4 linked regions of the Danio rerio genome follow. The protein of the gene in region 3 interacts with the protein of the main gene of each other region in a biochemical or structural test. Links are inferred from orthologs where the notes say so. Each region holds a gene or a part of one and is shown on either strand. Other genes may lie near its edges. The genes, in order: cntnap2a, fchsd2, caska and caskin1.

The links.
Region 1: the proteins of caska (region 3) and cntnap2a form a complex in vitro, tested with the Homo sapiens proteins (2 studies listed by BioGRID and IntAct, with this or other methods). The link is inferred for Danio rerio from reciprocal best matches to the Homo sapiens genes CASK and CNTNAP2.
Region 2: the proteins of caska (region 3) and fchsd2 form a complex in vitro, tested with the Homo sapiens proteins (2 studies listed by BioGRID and IntAct, with this or other methods). The link is inferred for Danio rerio from reciprocal best matches to the Homo sapiens genes CASK and FCHSD2.
Region 4: the proteins of caska (region 3) and caskin1 interact in a biophysical measurement, tested with the Homo sapiens proteins (2 studies listed by IntAct, with this or other methods). The link is inferred for Danio rerio from reciprocal best matches to the Homo sapiens genes CASK and CASKIN1.

The regions. Positions count from the first base shown.
Region 1 is NC_133199.1:21,601,006-21,604,576, forward strand, and holds part of cntnap2a (contactin-associated protein-like 2a precursor), read right to left. Parts: intron 2,157-3,571; coding exon 1,956-2,156; intron 1-1,955. UniProt on the Homo sapiens protein: Required for gap junction formation. Required, with CNTNAP1, for radial and longitudinal organization of myelinated axons.
Region 2 is NC_133193.1:4,556,496-4,560,786, forward strand, and holds the start of fchsd2 (F-BAR and double SH3 domains protein 2), read right to left. Parts: upstream 2,816-4,291; 5' UTR 2,657-2,815; coding exon 2,636-2,656; intron 1-2,635. UniProt on the Homo sapiens protein: Adapter protein that plays a role in endocytosis via clathrin-coated pits. Contributes to the internalization of cell surface receptors, such as integrin ITGB1 and transferrin receptor.
Region 3 is NC_133184.1:35,054,871-35,058,408, forward strand, and holds the end of caska (peripheral plasma membrane protein CASK), read right to left. Parts: intron 2,300-3,538; coding exon 2,123-2,299; 3' UTR 548-2,122; downstream 1-547. UniProt on the Homo sapiens protein: Multidomain scaffolding Mg(2+)-independent protein kinase that catalyzes the phosphotransfer from ATP to proteins such as NRXN1, and plays a role in synaptic transmembrane protein anchoring and ion channel trafficking.
Region 4 is NC_133178.1:34,509,756-34,513,326, reverse strand, and holds part of caskin1 (caskin-1), read left to right. Parts: intron 1-1,360; coding exon 1,361-1,465; intron 1,466-1,922; coding exon 1,923-2,038; intron 2,039-3,571.

The sequences.
Region 1 (3,571 bases), on a different chromosome or scaffold from region 3:
GATATAAAATATAAAGGGAAGACTGGAGACAAAGCACTGCATTAAATTCCATTTTCCAGTGCCATGTCTTTAAGATATGACAGTTTATTATATCCTAGTATTTTTAATGAAGTTTCTGTTCTCACCTTCTGATCCTGATGGCACTGAAGTTTAAACGGTGTTTCATCTCATTTTAAACTTAAACCACTAAACGAATGCTTAAGTCTATTTAACTGAATGTATTGTAATTACAATACAACATCGATGCTGTAAAAGGAACCTTATGAAAATAGTCACATTAAGCTTTCATCGTAAGTTTAGCATTGGCTGAAAAACACTAGCTGTGCATACAGCCTATCGTCTAGTTAACATAATAAAAACCTAAGTAAGGGATAGTTCACTCAAAAATATAATTATTGTTTAGTTCTTGTTAATTACTGTTCATCCTCAAGTGGATTTAAACCTGTTTGACTTTTTTTTTCTTTTTGTGGAACACAAAAACGTATGAAAAATGTTAAAAACCTGTAAACATTGATTTCCAAAGTAGAAAAAAAAAAATACTTTGGAAGCCAATGCTTACAGGTTTCTAGCACTTTTCCAGTATATTTTTTGAGTTTCTCATTTCTGTTGAACACAATCTTTTGAATCTTTGAGAACAGAGAAAATCAAACAGACTTTGAATGAGTAGAGGATGTGTAAATGGTGACAGAATATTCAGTTTTTGGGTGAACTATTCATTTAGGCCTTTAAATAGTGCTTTAAACTTAGACTTAGACTAAAACTTTGCAAACTAGAAAAACACCTCACAGTGTCTCTGTTAAACAGCACCTGAGAAATATTGGAAAAATACAAATTTCAATACAAAGATACAACGTTATCTATACACTACCTGACAAAAATCTTGTCATCGATCCCAGTTAAGAGAAACAAATAATAACTTGACTTCTAGTTGATCATTTAAAAAAGGAGGAGAAGGTAGATTTTTCAGATGAACTATATGTTGAACTGCATCCCAATCATCACAAATACTGCAGAAGACCTATTGGAAGCCACAAGAACCCAAGAATCTGAGAAAAATCAGTCAAGTTTGGTAAAGGAAAAATGCATGGTTTGGGGTTACATTCAGAATGGGGGCCTGCGAGAGATCTGCAGAGTGGATGGCAACATCAACAGCCTGAGGTGTCAAGACATTTGTGCTGCCCATTACATTAAGAACCACAGAAGAGGGCAAAATCTTCAGCAGGATAGCACTTCTACTCGTACTTCAGCCTCCACATACAAGTTCCAGAAAGCAAAGAAAGTCAAGGTGCTCCAGCATTGGTCAGCCCATTCACCAGACATGAACATTATTAAGCATTCTGGGATAAGATGAAGGAGACATTGAAAATGAATCCAAAGAGTCTTGATAAACTCTGGGAGGCCTGCAAGAATGCTTTTCTTTGCCATTCCAGATGACTTTATTAACAAGTCATTTGAGTCATCGCAGAGATGAATGAATGCAGTTGTTTTTGTTGTTCACAAAACTTGTGCGACAAGACTTTTATCAGGTAGTGTATAGATAGATGGATATATCTCATGTCACTTCATTTTCAAGTCCTGAAATTACATTGCGTAAAGGACTATCTGATGTTACCTAACTTCACACATTTTAGTTTACAAATAATTTTCAATGGTAAAAGTGGCTTAAGATCATTCAGTTGTATTGTGTATGAAACTCAGCAGAAACAAGCGTTCATTGATTGATAATTATAACAATCTGTCCTGTAATTTTATGTTGTAGATAATATAAAAGATTGTTCCTTTTTTTAAGACCTCTGGTTTTCATTTCAGCTGAAAACTGCAGCAAACTGTCCTGTAGCAAAAAAGATTTAGGAGTTTTGCCAAAGTTTTGGTAGAGGCACGTTTACAAATAAACCTGGGAAGAAGAATCTACAAGGAAGCAAACATTCAAACGCTCTCACACAGTCTCTCAGTACCTGGAGTGTTGAGTAGACGTGACATTCGGCAGGCGTAGGAGACGTGCTGCTCGCAGTGCTCAGCGCTGTTGGTTATTGCTGTGACCTGCTCCATAGACGCACTGTAGTTCAGCTGTAAAACTGTCCGTCTCTCCCGGCTGGAGCCAGTTACTGCTGTCTGTGCCGGTAGGTTATTCACCACTGTCGTCCAAACCTTGTCCTCTGAAACACAGAAAAAATAATGATAATTAAATTGGATACTGACTAATAAAAGACACCACAATATAACGTTAGCATTTGCTCATATTTAGAAAGACGAAAAATTATTATTTTATGCAACACAGATCTTAAAAGATGAGTATATTAATGACTCAAACCTTTTTGTATCACTGTCAAGAAGTATTTCTACAATAGTTTACATGAATCATAAATGTCCATAAAGACAATAAAGTGCTTACTAAACACCATTAAAAAAGTCTGGAAGAAAGAATCTGAAACCTGAATCTAGAATTGTTTGAATGATTAATACAATTTAAAATACCTTATATATTATATTTCTGTGATGGCAAAGCTGATTTTTCCTCCAGAAATCTTCACTATGCTAATTTGATGCTCAAAATCTTTATTCTGCTATTATAAATTTTAAGAAAGGTGTGTTGTTAAATATCTTCATGGAAACCTTGTTTTTTGTCCCTCAGGATTCTCTGATGAAAGATAAAAAGCTGTTTTTACTTGAAATATATAATGTAATTATTGTCATAATTTAAAACATTCATGCTGAAATACATATAAGTATTTTTTAAATCGTACTGACACCAAATGATCCAAAATGTAATCAAGAATTGTTCAGAGCAAGCAATTATTTAAAAAAAATATATATTTAAATGCTTAATATTTAATTAACTTAAATTTCAAAGGCAAACACTTTCACCTAACTAAAAGTGCAAAGAGCACACTTGAGTGAATATGTTTCCAAATGTTTTAATTATATTTTTTTAAACAAAAGTTAATTCTTTTTAGCTGACATATGTAATCAAGGAAAAATTTTCTTATTAAAGTTACACCTTAGAAAAAATGTACTGATCATGAAGTGTCAAATGGATTTTTATTCCAAATATTCCTCAAGCTTTTTTAAGTTTTATTAATTTGAACTTCAAACAAACGGACAAATTTTCTTTCTTAAGATAAATGTTCATCTTGTTTTTATATTTCAGTCTAAATTATCCTGCAACCTTAATCTTTCCTTCCCACCTCAAAACAAGACTTACCCTTTCTAAAAGCTGTAGACATTTCTAAAATTGACAGACACATTCTTTTCAGCATGATTTTTTGCTCTACCGTGTCCGCTCAGGGATTTCCTCTGCTCTGAGATGACTGCAGTTCCTGTCCTCAAACGATAACATTTTATGTCCTGGCGTTCCTACATGTTCCATTAAGTTGAACTTATTTATTTTTGGATCAGTGGGATGACGTAAACCAAGATTGCAATATTGCAGAAAAAAAAGTCTAGGGAGGTGTTAGTGTGTTTTTAGTGTGTTTAAAAAACCTTACTCAGATGTTAGAGAATAGAGAAGTCCTTGAAAGCATTCATTCATTCATTCATTCATTCATTCATTCATTTTCTTTTTGGCTTAGTC
Region 2 (4,291 bases), on a different chromosome or scaffold from region 3:
GGTTATTTATTAATAATCATAATACTAATAATGTCATATACAGTACAGATACTTAATAAATAATCTACTATAAGGTTAAAGCATTAACGTTTGCTTTGTTTTTTGTTTTCACAAGCTTTGGAAACGTAACATAAATTCCACTTTTAAGTAATGGGTCACCTACAGCTTTCGTCATGAGGCTGTGTTCAAAATGACATCAATGTTCTCAATGTGCACTGCGAAGGGAGCGCAAATGTAAACATGAAGATCGCTAAAACTGAAAAATGTCAGAATGTTCTAAATGAATAGGTCATAGGGGGGATAAGAAGAAATAGCACACAGCCAGGAACTGTCTCTAACTACAGCTCCAGAGGTGTAGTTGCAAGCATACAAGTTTGTGACGCAGTTTACGAATGTTCGTTGGAACACGGATTTGGGAAATGCCAAATCAACAAGCTATGTTTGAAACGATGTAATTCGTGACCTTAGTTGGCTAACAATGGTTTTGGGAAACGCACCCCAGTTGGGTTAAATATTTGGTGATTTGTTGGGTTATTTTTAAGCTGCATTTGGTTATTTATTTAATAACTCAAAAAATTCAAATTAATTTAAAAATTTTAATTTCAACAGTCAACTGATTTAACTGACACAGAACAGCTGTATTAATATACAAACGCACGTTTCATAGTCAATTTATTCATTCGTTCATTTTTTTCCCCGCCTCAGTCCCTTTATTAATCTGGGGTCGCCACAGCGGAATGGACCGCCAACTTATCCAGCTCTTATCCAGCCCTTCCAGCCGCAACCCATCTCTGGGAAACATCCACACACACTCATTCACACACATACATACACTATTTAGCCACCCCAATTCACCTGTACCACAAGTCTTTGGACTGTGGGGGTAAACCGGAGTACCCGCAGGAAACCCACGCAAACGCAGGGAGACCATGTAAACTCCACACAGAAACGTCGAGGCTCGAAACAGCAACCTTCTTGCTGTGAGGCGACAGCACTACCTACTGTGCCCCTGCGTCGCCTAGTCAATTTATTATATGGATTAAAAGAGTCTACCTCCTGTGTTCATCTGTACTGTGTTATTAAATAAATAACAAAGTAAAGGTTTAAAAATAACCCAACAAAGCACCAAATATTGAACTCAACTAGATGAGTTATTAATAAATAATCTAAAAAAGGTTAAAAAATAACCCAACAAACACCAAATGTGTTTAACTCAACTATTGGGTTAAATAAATAACTAACTATTTTTTTGGGTGGAAAGATACACATATTTGGGATATTTGGCAGTCATCCTTACCTTTTAGAACCCAGCGGAGACATTTATTTATTTACACAGCCATAATTATAAAATTAATTAATAGTAGTACTCCTATAGTAATACCAGAATGGAAAAAATAACAATTAACCCATAATTGGGAAGGGAAGGAGCTATAATAACATATAATAACTATATATATATATATATATATATATATATATATATATATATATATATATATATATATATATGGGGTATTCTAAACCCAACTATTTTAATAGAGTACAGGTGAGACATTATTATTATTATTACTCCGAGATGGAGGAAACACTCACAGCAGCAGCATTTGCGTCAGAGCAAAACACAACAGCACAAATTCCAGACATTTATAGTGGGAAGGCTTGGAGACAGACACTGTTGTGTTAAAATAGGGATCAGATATATGATGCAAAAGAGACACTACATGACATCTTTGTACATCCTCTAGTATTTAACCTCTGATCTATACACTATAGCATATTGTATGTTTATCAATGAAATAAAAGCATCAGCAGTGTGTCAAAACGAGTATTGCATGCATCTCTACGTAATATTATCAAATATAGCAGGGAAATAGCAGGGTTTATTTAGGGGGAAACCTGTGCTACATGCTATCAGCCTTCCTGCTCTTCACTAGACAAAGCAATTGCAAAAAAGTAAGACGTCACCTTTAAGGATTTCACACTCTGATGCAATGCTTTGAGGATTAAAATACCAAAATGTGCGCGGAATGATTAGAATATGATGAGTGTGTGTGTTTTTGTGTGTGTGGTAATTTCACATTCCTCCATACAGCCGCCTGTGGGACATGAGTTTGAAACCCAACACCCCTGCTGTCACCTCTGAGAGAAAGACAGGAACACATCTTTCCCTAGGATATATGATTTTATCATCAACGTACTTGACATATGCACACATTAAATCGAGATCTGCAACACAATGTCAGACTTTAAGGTTATAATGACGAGCATCGATCCGTTAATTTGACAAAAGCATGGTGACTGGGTTTAATCTGAGAGGAAAACACACACACACACACACACAACACACAAGACGACTCTCGTAGCTGCATGGTTTAACCGTTATCTGAGAGCAAATCAGGCTAAAAACACACTCTAGTGTAAACCAGGCGGATTTCAGCATCGCAAACGGAGCTTTGAAAACAACAATAAAACACAACTGCTCGAGAAAAGTCCTGATGCATTGTTTCCGCTGCAAAATACAAACCCGCACATTGTTTCAAAACAAACCGCGGCTTTGACACAAAGTTGCAACGACATAACAATGTACATTCTTATAAGAAATACACACATTGTTACAAAACGACGATTTTCTTACCTTTCTTGGCGGAGGCTGCATGTTTGAACATTGGCACAAATGAAGTAAAATCCCAAAGAAATGATTCCCAGCGCGATCGGGGTGGATGACTGAGAAAACGGGGATCACACTGGCGTTCGGCTCTGGATTCAGACGGCCATGATGAAGCAGGTCCAGTCAGGCAGACGCTCAACAAACACTGCGGATCAGGGGAGAAAGTAATAAAAGAGAGAATATGCCTCCAAAGAACAGCCTCGAAGCGTGAAATCCAGTCCAACAGCGCCGCGGAACGGACAAGCGTAACCCCGCTGCACGATATCTACTACGACGAGGGTTTAGCTCATTAATATTAATTACGTAACGGGACGTTCGCTCACTGTGCTTTCCTGATTGGCTAAAGCGCGTGCGCTTGTAACGGTCAGATGGTTATTTGAATATTAAGAAGATAAGATGATTGGACAGTTCGAGAATGCGCCAACGTTGATGGAAGAGCTATTAATATTCATGATCTACGCCTTGGCCGTAGTAAAGTTATTCATCCAAATAATGAAAACAAATTAAATTAGGATTTATTCTGACAAGAGTTGCAAATTTAATTAGAGACTCTAAAATATATACTAAAAATATTAAATTACAGTGACATGGTGGCTCGGTGGTCACCTCACAGCAAGAAGGTCGCTGGTTTGAGTCCCAGCTGGGTTATTTCTGTGTGGAGTTTGCATGTTCTCCCCGTGTTGGCGTGGGTTTCCTCTGCTTGCCCCACAGTACAAACACATGCGCTATAGGGGAATTGATAAACTAAATTGGATGTAGTGTATGAGTGTGTGTGAATGAGTGTGTATGGATGCTTCCCAGTACTGGGTTGCAGCTGCAAGGGCATCTGCTTTGTAAAACATATGCTGGATAAGTTGGTGGTTCATTCCGCTGTAGTGACCCTTAATGAATAAAGGGACTAAGCCAAAAAAGAAAATGAATGAATGAATCTTAAATTATTAGACTCTTTTAAAAAGGCTGTGTTGTTTCAACCTAGGACTTAAATATTGACAAAAACAATTCTGGGTTAATTTTTAAGCTAAATTAATAGACCAAATTTAAGCCAGTTTTTGGGTTTGTTCATATTTCACCCATATTTGGATTGGAATAACCAAGTATTTGAATGAAAAAAAAAACTAATAGTCAAGAAATTCATTCATTCGTTTTCTTTTCGGCTTAGTCCCTTCATTAATCAGGGGTCACCACAGCAGAAATAAGTCATTTAAACGGATTTAATATACATATAAGTCAATAATATACACAGAAGGTATATTAAATAATGGTGAAATGTCTGTTTTAATGTTTCAAATGACTTAGAAAAGCACAGTAATGGGTTTAATTTTTCAAATTCAATTCATCTTTATTTCTATAGCGCTTTTACAATGTAGATTGTGTCAAAGCAGCTTCACATAGAAGTTCTAGTAAATTGAAGCAGTGTCAGTCCAGTTTTCAGTGTTAAAGTTCACCTCAGTGTGCTTTAATTTTTACTGCTGTGAGCCCTAACACTGAAAAGCAAATCCATCAATTTGAAGCTCCACAAGTCCCAAACCAAGCAAGCCAGTTGCGACAGTGGTGAGGAACAAACTTTACTGATTGACAAAAATCGAAGGAAAAAACACCTTGAGAGAAACCAAGCTCAGTTAG
Region 3 (3,538 bases):
CAACCCATCACTGATAAAGGAGACTGTTTTTATGCTTAAAATCGCAAGAAATTAAAATACCTATTATATATATATATATATATATATATATATATATATATATATATATATATATATATATATATATATTATATTTGTATATTTGTGTGTGTGTGTGTGTGTGTGTATATATATATATATATATATATATATATATATATATATATATAATATTTGTATATTTGTATTTGTGTATATATATATATATATATATATATATATATATATATATATATATATATATATAATATTTGTATATTTGTATTTGTGTATATATATATATATATATATATATAGAGAGAGAGAGAGAGAGAGATTAGTCAGCACTGAAGCCAAATCTGAAGCTTATCTAACAAAATAACATACGATAATGGTCCAAAAACGAGTACACACAAATTTATATGTTATGGAAAATATTAAATAAGAATTTAAAAAAGAGAAGCAAAAAAGAGAAAGTAAAAAATTTAGTTGAAATTTAGTTGGTTTTAATTATTTTACAATATTAAGCTTGAATTTAATTGTATTTTCTTTTAATATTTAAATATGTTTGGTGACTAAAATACTATTTGATTAAATAGATCCGTTTAATCAATCTGTTTTGTTTAAACGCACCAAAACACATTGCCTATATTCAGTGAGAAATGGATACAAATATATATTTTCCAAATGGGCTGTACTCAATTAAGCTGAGCACTGTATTTAAAAATACTTCAGACGTCCAGAATCAATGGTCAAGAAAAAAAGAAAAAACACTCTGCGTCGCTCTCAGACACATAACTGGGCATTGATCTCGACTGCAGTCACACAGAATCAAGCTGGCAGGGCGTGACCCGCCACAGCTGCTGGGAAAAAATCCGGAAAAACAAAAAGGCCAAAGAGGAACGAAAAATTTCCATTGGCCCCATCTCTGCCAACTCACACCGAGAGCTAGGCTGAGCAAAAGAGCTGGATGAGAAAACAGCAGAGGACACCACATCTTCACCACATAAAAGGAAATATATATTTAAAAAAGAAAAGAAAAGGGAAAAAGACACACTCATACCGAAGAGCTGCTCTGTCATCAATAGAGCCGTTTTCACAGGGCAGTTTGAGGAAACAGTTTTATCATATACAGAACCATTGAGATGAACAGACCGCGGCCTCATTCTGCTGCACAGAATAAAAATCTGATTTCGTTTTTAACAGTAATACTCTCAAACAACACACTTCTGAAATGCCAGTATTCATTTTCAACCCAAAGCCCATAAATCTTACAACAAATAAAAATTTAGACCATTTACAAACACATTTTACTACATAATTGGTAAAAATAAACTGTTTACAAAGTTGCCAAAATGCAAGGGATGTGCATAGGTCTTTTTTTTCCCTCCTGGTCACCGGCTCCACCTGTTTGAATGTGTTCGTCCCGCCGAATGGAATGTTTTCTGCTGTGGGTGACAGTCTGGACACAGCTAACACTGAACGCTCGTGAATGTTCACATGCATGAGATCTCATTCAAATCTCGAAAACATTTATGCACGTCTTTAGAGAGACAGTATCCACGTGTAGAGGAGGGCGGATTGGGAAAAGTAGAAAGAAAAAAAGTGTGTTTAAAATGAAAGCTGAATCGGTGGGTTGTGCTAAAGCTAAAGCAGCTGGGGTCTGCCGCATGGATAATGTGGGATTATGTATTATGGCTGAGTTAATGGACGGGCTGGACAGATGAAAGCTACGAGGATTCTGTCGGAGAAATATTATGACCAGAAAAACGAGCAGAACCACAGGAAAGGAAGTCAAGTAGGATACTGTCTCTTTAAATCCAACGTCAACAAAATGTTGCCTCCTAGCTATATAGACATGACAATATTTAGTAATTTATTTTATTGATCTTTTTTTTCATTAATACAACACTACGTCTAGGTAGTCTGTGAGGGGCCAAGACTGGGCTCACTGCAGGTACATCGATGTTGCTGAATGTCAGAGGTGGGCTTCTGTTTGCATCATGGGAAACTTTTCAAGTTTTGTTTTGTTTTCTTGCAGAGACGCACTGTTTAGTGTGAGGTTATGAAGGGCGTAAGGTTACAGGTTGATGGGCTTGCTGTTTTAGTAGACCCAGGACACCGGAACCCACTGGGCGGTGCTGCAAACCATGTCTATGGCTTCCTCCAGGAGGCGGATGGTCTCGTCAATTTCATTATTGATGATGGTTTGGTCAAAGTAATGTGCATATGTCTTCTGGAGGATCTCAGACTCCTTCTGCAGCCTCTGTAGCGACTCATCCTACAGCGCAAAAGAAAAAGAGTGAGTATAAGAGCCAAAAATGGGCCTTTTAGGACATTCGGGATAGAAAGCGGGTAAAATCGGACCCTGTGGCCATTTAAAGGGGTTATATGTTTGAATGTATTAATAACTAGGATGTCTTTGAAATCCTGCACACTGATTTTTATGTGAAGGACATTTTTGGAAGAAAAAGTAAAGCTTGTGACACTCTCCCCTGTTCTATGATATGGAAGTGAATGTTTTTTTTAATATAGTTACTTATTTTTGTTGCACAATATATTTCTCGTTGCTTACCACCAGAGTCAAATAGACTTAGGTTTTGCATAATTTTAGAAAGCATAAGTTTTGCTACGGTTACGCCTTCTGTCCACACTAGCCTGGAGTTTTCAAGCCCTGAAAATCTAGCATTTTGGAAACGCTGAAAAGGCTATTCTGATTTTAAAACGCTGCTGCTTTGTGTCAGTGTGGATGGGGGAAAATGGAGACATCTGAAAACGGAGTCGTTGTTGCAGACATTCGCCTATCTGATTGGGCCTTTTTCTCAATATTATGTACACAAAGTTCAGTCTTGCATCCTTTCCTTTTATGTTTAGACTTCACAAGTTTGATATGGAAAACAAACTCCCAAGGACACATCAGGTAAATCTTCAAATGGAACGATATACTTTATAACTTCATTCACATCACCCTGGTTACGTTGTTTAAGAATAAAATAAAAACATGATATAAGGAGCTGCCTATTTTCATTTTGATTATAGCTACATATTTATATGACCGTCATCTTCACTGTATGCATAATTATAACAAAACAGAGCCTATAACATAACTGCATCCGTTAATTTTCATTGAAAAATATGAAACCCACCCTGTCTCCTTTGCTGAATATCAGTTTTAATAATCAATAATGGCTAATATAAAAGTATAACATCTAATAAGTTTATAAAATGTTGTAAATATAGGCAAGCAATCAGTCAAATAGGCCAAAGCAGAGTACGTGGTTACATAAATTGATATATTAACTTGTTCTCAGGTAAAGTGTTTTGGCTAAGCACAAGTAATAGATTTAAAAGACAGAAGAGTCTTTAGATAAAGACAAGATTAATTAGATATCACGTTTAACAAATATAGTGGGAACATAGACAGTGAAAGATATGGACGTAGTATCCGTGACGTCACCCACAGGTTTATGAAGAACCCAAAGAGAGCTACCAGTAGGCGTGGCCAACCGTCGCCATTTTG
Region 4 (3,571 bases), on a different chromosome or scaffold from region 3:
GTCACAGACTTCTGTTTATCTGACGTAAGGCATGATGTGAAGCAGACACACGTATGAAAACAGTGGGCGGGGAGAAGCAGCTTGTTTGGATTTTGGTGGAATGAACCGCCAACTTATCCAGCATATGTTTTACGCAGTGGATGCCCTTCCAGCTGCAACCCATCACTGGGAAAGCTACAAAAAACAGCTCCAATGTATTCAGACACCAAAATGGGTGGATTTTGGAGACTATGATAAATAATCTGATAGGTATTTTGAACTGAAACTTGAGCTGAGACACCAAAGGCTGCCATCTTACATCTTGTAAAAGGGGTAAAATAGGTGCCCTTTAAACTATGAATAAGTCAGTTCTACACAATGTTTAAGTCATGTTTTTTCTTAAAATGGCAAAACAAACCTGCACTTGGGCCTGATAATCAATCAAGAATCTCTAAAAAGAGAGTTCAGCCAAAATGGAAAATGTTGTCATTGTTTAGTCACCCTTAAATGGCTTCAAACCTATATGACTTTTTCACTGTGGAACATACAAGAAGATTTTGATGATCCAAAAAATGGATAAAGATGCTTTTTTGACCCTTCAACGCCAGCAATTCTATTTTATTTATTTGTGAAAAATTTACACTGAACCTTTACTTGGTTTTTTTTTTTGTCCTCATTTAGTTAGTGACTTTAAATTAAAGCACTTGCTAAGCAAATTAATATAATAGCTAAATAAAGTCAAAGAAAGTCAGGGGTCAACAGCTTTAAATTGTATGGACCAGTGTAAACAGTAAAAAAATAACTTGGGGGTGAATAAATGATGAAAAATGAAAAGAATTTTGAGTGAACTGTCTCTTTAACGATATAATCTGTAAAACAGTAGGTCTCTTTTCAGTGATTGGAGACCACTGCCATAAAAATGGCGTTGTGTTTATTTGTATATAAACAAATTAACGTACACTTGTGTGTACACTTGTGATGTTTTGGAGACCCCAATGAACTATGCTCCTGTAATGCACTGCAACTCCTTTTGTTGTTATATATATATATATATTTACATATATAATCATATATTCCTGTATATATTATATATGTTTTACCTATGTGTATGTGTAAATCAAGGCATATATATATGTATATAAAGTACATGTTTCTGCTTAAATATTTCATGTACCTCTGTATATATCAATGTTCATATATATTTGTGTTAGATATACAGTATATATATGCGTGCTTGCCTTGTGTGGGTGTTTGAAAGAGAAAGTGGTTAGAGCGCATAGACATAGTTTAGCTTTCCTCTTGCTTGACCTCTCCAGAACACCTATGATCCCGGGCAGGCGGCGAAGCCAGGGCACAGTTAATGATGGTTTCTGTGTTAAAGGTTCTCGTGGCTCAGAGTCCAGTCCACATGGCTCACCCACCCCAGCTGGTGGACCCCAGGGTGGAAGTAGCGAGGAGATCTGGGTGCTGCGCAAGCCTGTGGCAGGTAACAGCAGGGCTGCCCCTTCCTCCACTTCCCTCTCATAACTCTCCCTGCTTTGCCACGCTCTTGGTGCAGCTGCTGTCGCCTGACCTCAGACCTCCTCAGCTGCAGGCGTGTAGGCGCGCATTGAGAGACTCTCATCCGCTCTGTTAAAGTAACATCCATGGAGTCGTTCCTTCAAGAACACACATCCAGACAATCAACAGATGTGTGTAGACGGCATTTTCAATAAAGCCAGTGTAGACCTGTGTGTGTTTGTAGTAGTGAGTAAGCTAACATGTCTCGTGTTCATTGGTCACCTTGTCTGTGGTCATCATTGTCATGTACGTTTCTGTCATCCCGCGTATCAGATCAGTGCATTGCAGAGGGGAAGTTCATAGTGGTGTGTTTAAAGGGTTCGGGGCAGAGATGTCCAAAGGGGCTGACTGTGTGTGTGTTTGTTGGGGGTTTGTTGTTCCAGGTGGAGACCGCAGTAGTGTGGGCAGTTCAGGCAGTGTGGCCAGTGCCCGATCCTCTGGCAGTGGACAGAGCGCAGGCAGCACCAGTATCCTCCATGCTCAAGCAGAGGGAGTCAAGGTGAGCAATCTGATATGAAATATTTTTGTAGTATTCAAGTATCTAATACAAGTTTAGTTGTATTTGCCAGTCATCTCCAAGCCCCAGCCAGCCCGAGATGGCTCCAGCACATTTTATTCTAGTTCATATAAAATAGTTTGTCAAATCATTCATTTATTCGTTTTTAACTAAGTTTTAACTTTTCCGAGGCTGGGTCATGGGGGCAGCAGTCTTAGCAGAAAACCCCAGACTTCCTTCTCCCCAGTCACTTCCTCCAGCTTTTCTGGGTCTTCCACAAGGCCTCCTTCTTGTGGAACATGCCTGGAACACCTCCCTAGATAGGTGTCCAGGAGGCATCCAAAACAGATGCCCAAGCCACCTCAGCTGACTTCTCTCGATGTGGAGGAGCAGCAACTCTACTCTACTCTAAGCTCCTCCTGGGTGACAGAGCTCCTCACTCTATCCATAAGGGTACGCCCTGCCACCCTGTAAAGGAAACTCATTTCGGCCGCTTGTATCCGAGATCTTGTCCTTTCGGTCATGACCCAAAGCTCATGACCATAGGTGAGAGTAGGAACGTAGATTGACCGTTAAATCGAGAGCTTTGCCATTCGGCTCAGCTCCTTCTTTACCACAACGGACCGGTACATCAACCGCATTACTGCTGCTAATGCACCATCTCATGTTCCATCCTACCCTTACTCGTAAACAAAACCCCAAGATACTTGAAATCCTCCACCTGGGATAAGGACTTTCCTCCAACCTGGAGATGACAAACCACCTTTTTCCAGTGGAGCACCATGGCCTCGGACTTGGAGGTGCTGATACTCATCCCAGCCACGTCACACTCGGCAGCAAACCGCCTCAGTGCGCGATGTCAATGTCAGTGTCAATTTTATTTATATAGCACTAATAAACACAACCAGAGGTTGACCAATGTGCTTCACAATACACATTACAACAAAAAAATATATAAAAACAGACAATTTTCATTGATAAAATGCCAAATCAAAGAGGTAAGTTTTTAACCTAGATTTAAAAACAGACAGAGGTGATATACAACTAACACAGAGGGACAAAGCATTCCAGAATCTAGGACCAGCTACTGCGAAAGCACTGTCACCCCTGCTTTTCAGCCTTAACTTGGGTATACACAATAATCTCTGGTTTGAGACTAGGCTGATGCTCAATCAACATGTCTGACAGATAGGAAAGTGCCAGGCCATTTAGAGATTTAAAAACCAAGAAAAGAATTTTAAAAATGACTTGATAGTGAACAGTGCAAAGGTAAAAAGCCTTGCAGCAGCATTTTGAACTAACTGTAAATGGAATAAGGTTGTGACTAATCCCAATGCATAGTGAGTTACAATAGTCCAATCTAGTGGTTATAAAAGCATGGATTTTTTTAAACATTTTTTCTAGATAGAACCGTTTTAACTGTTCGATTTAAGAGTCAAAGCTGAAAAAAGCAGGATATAACCACTGCATTTATCTGTTTGTCAAAGCTCATAATCCAGAATAACACCTAGATTTTCTACCCAAGGCTTCATAGAA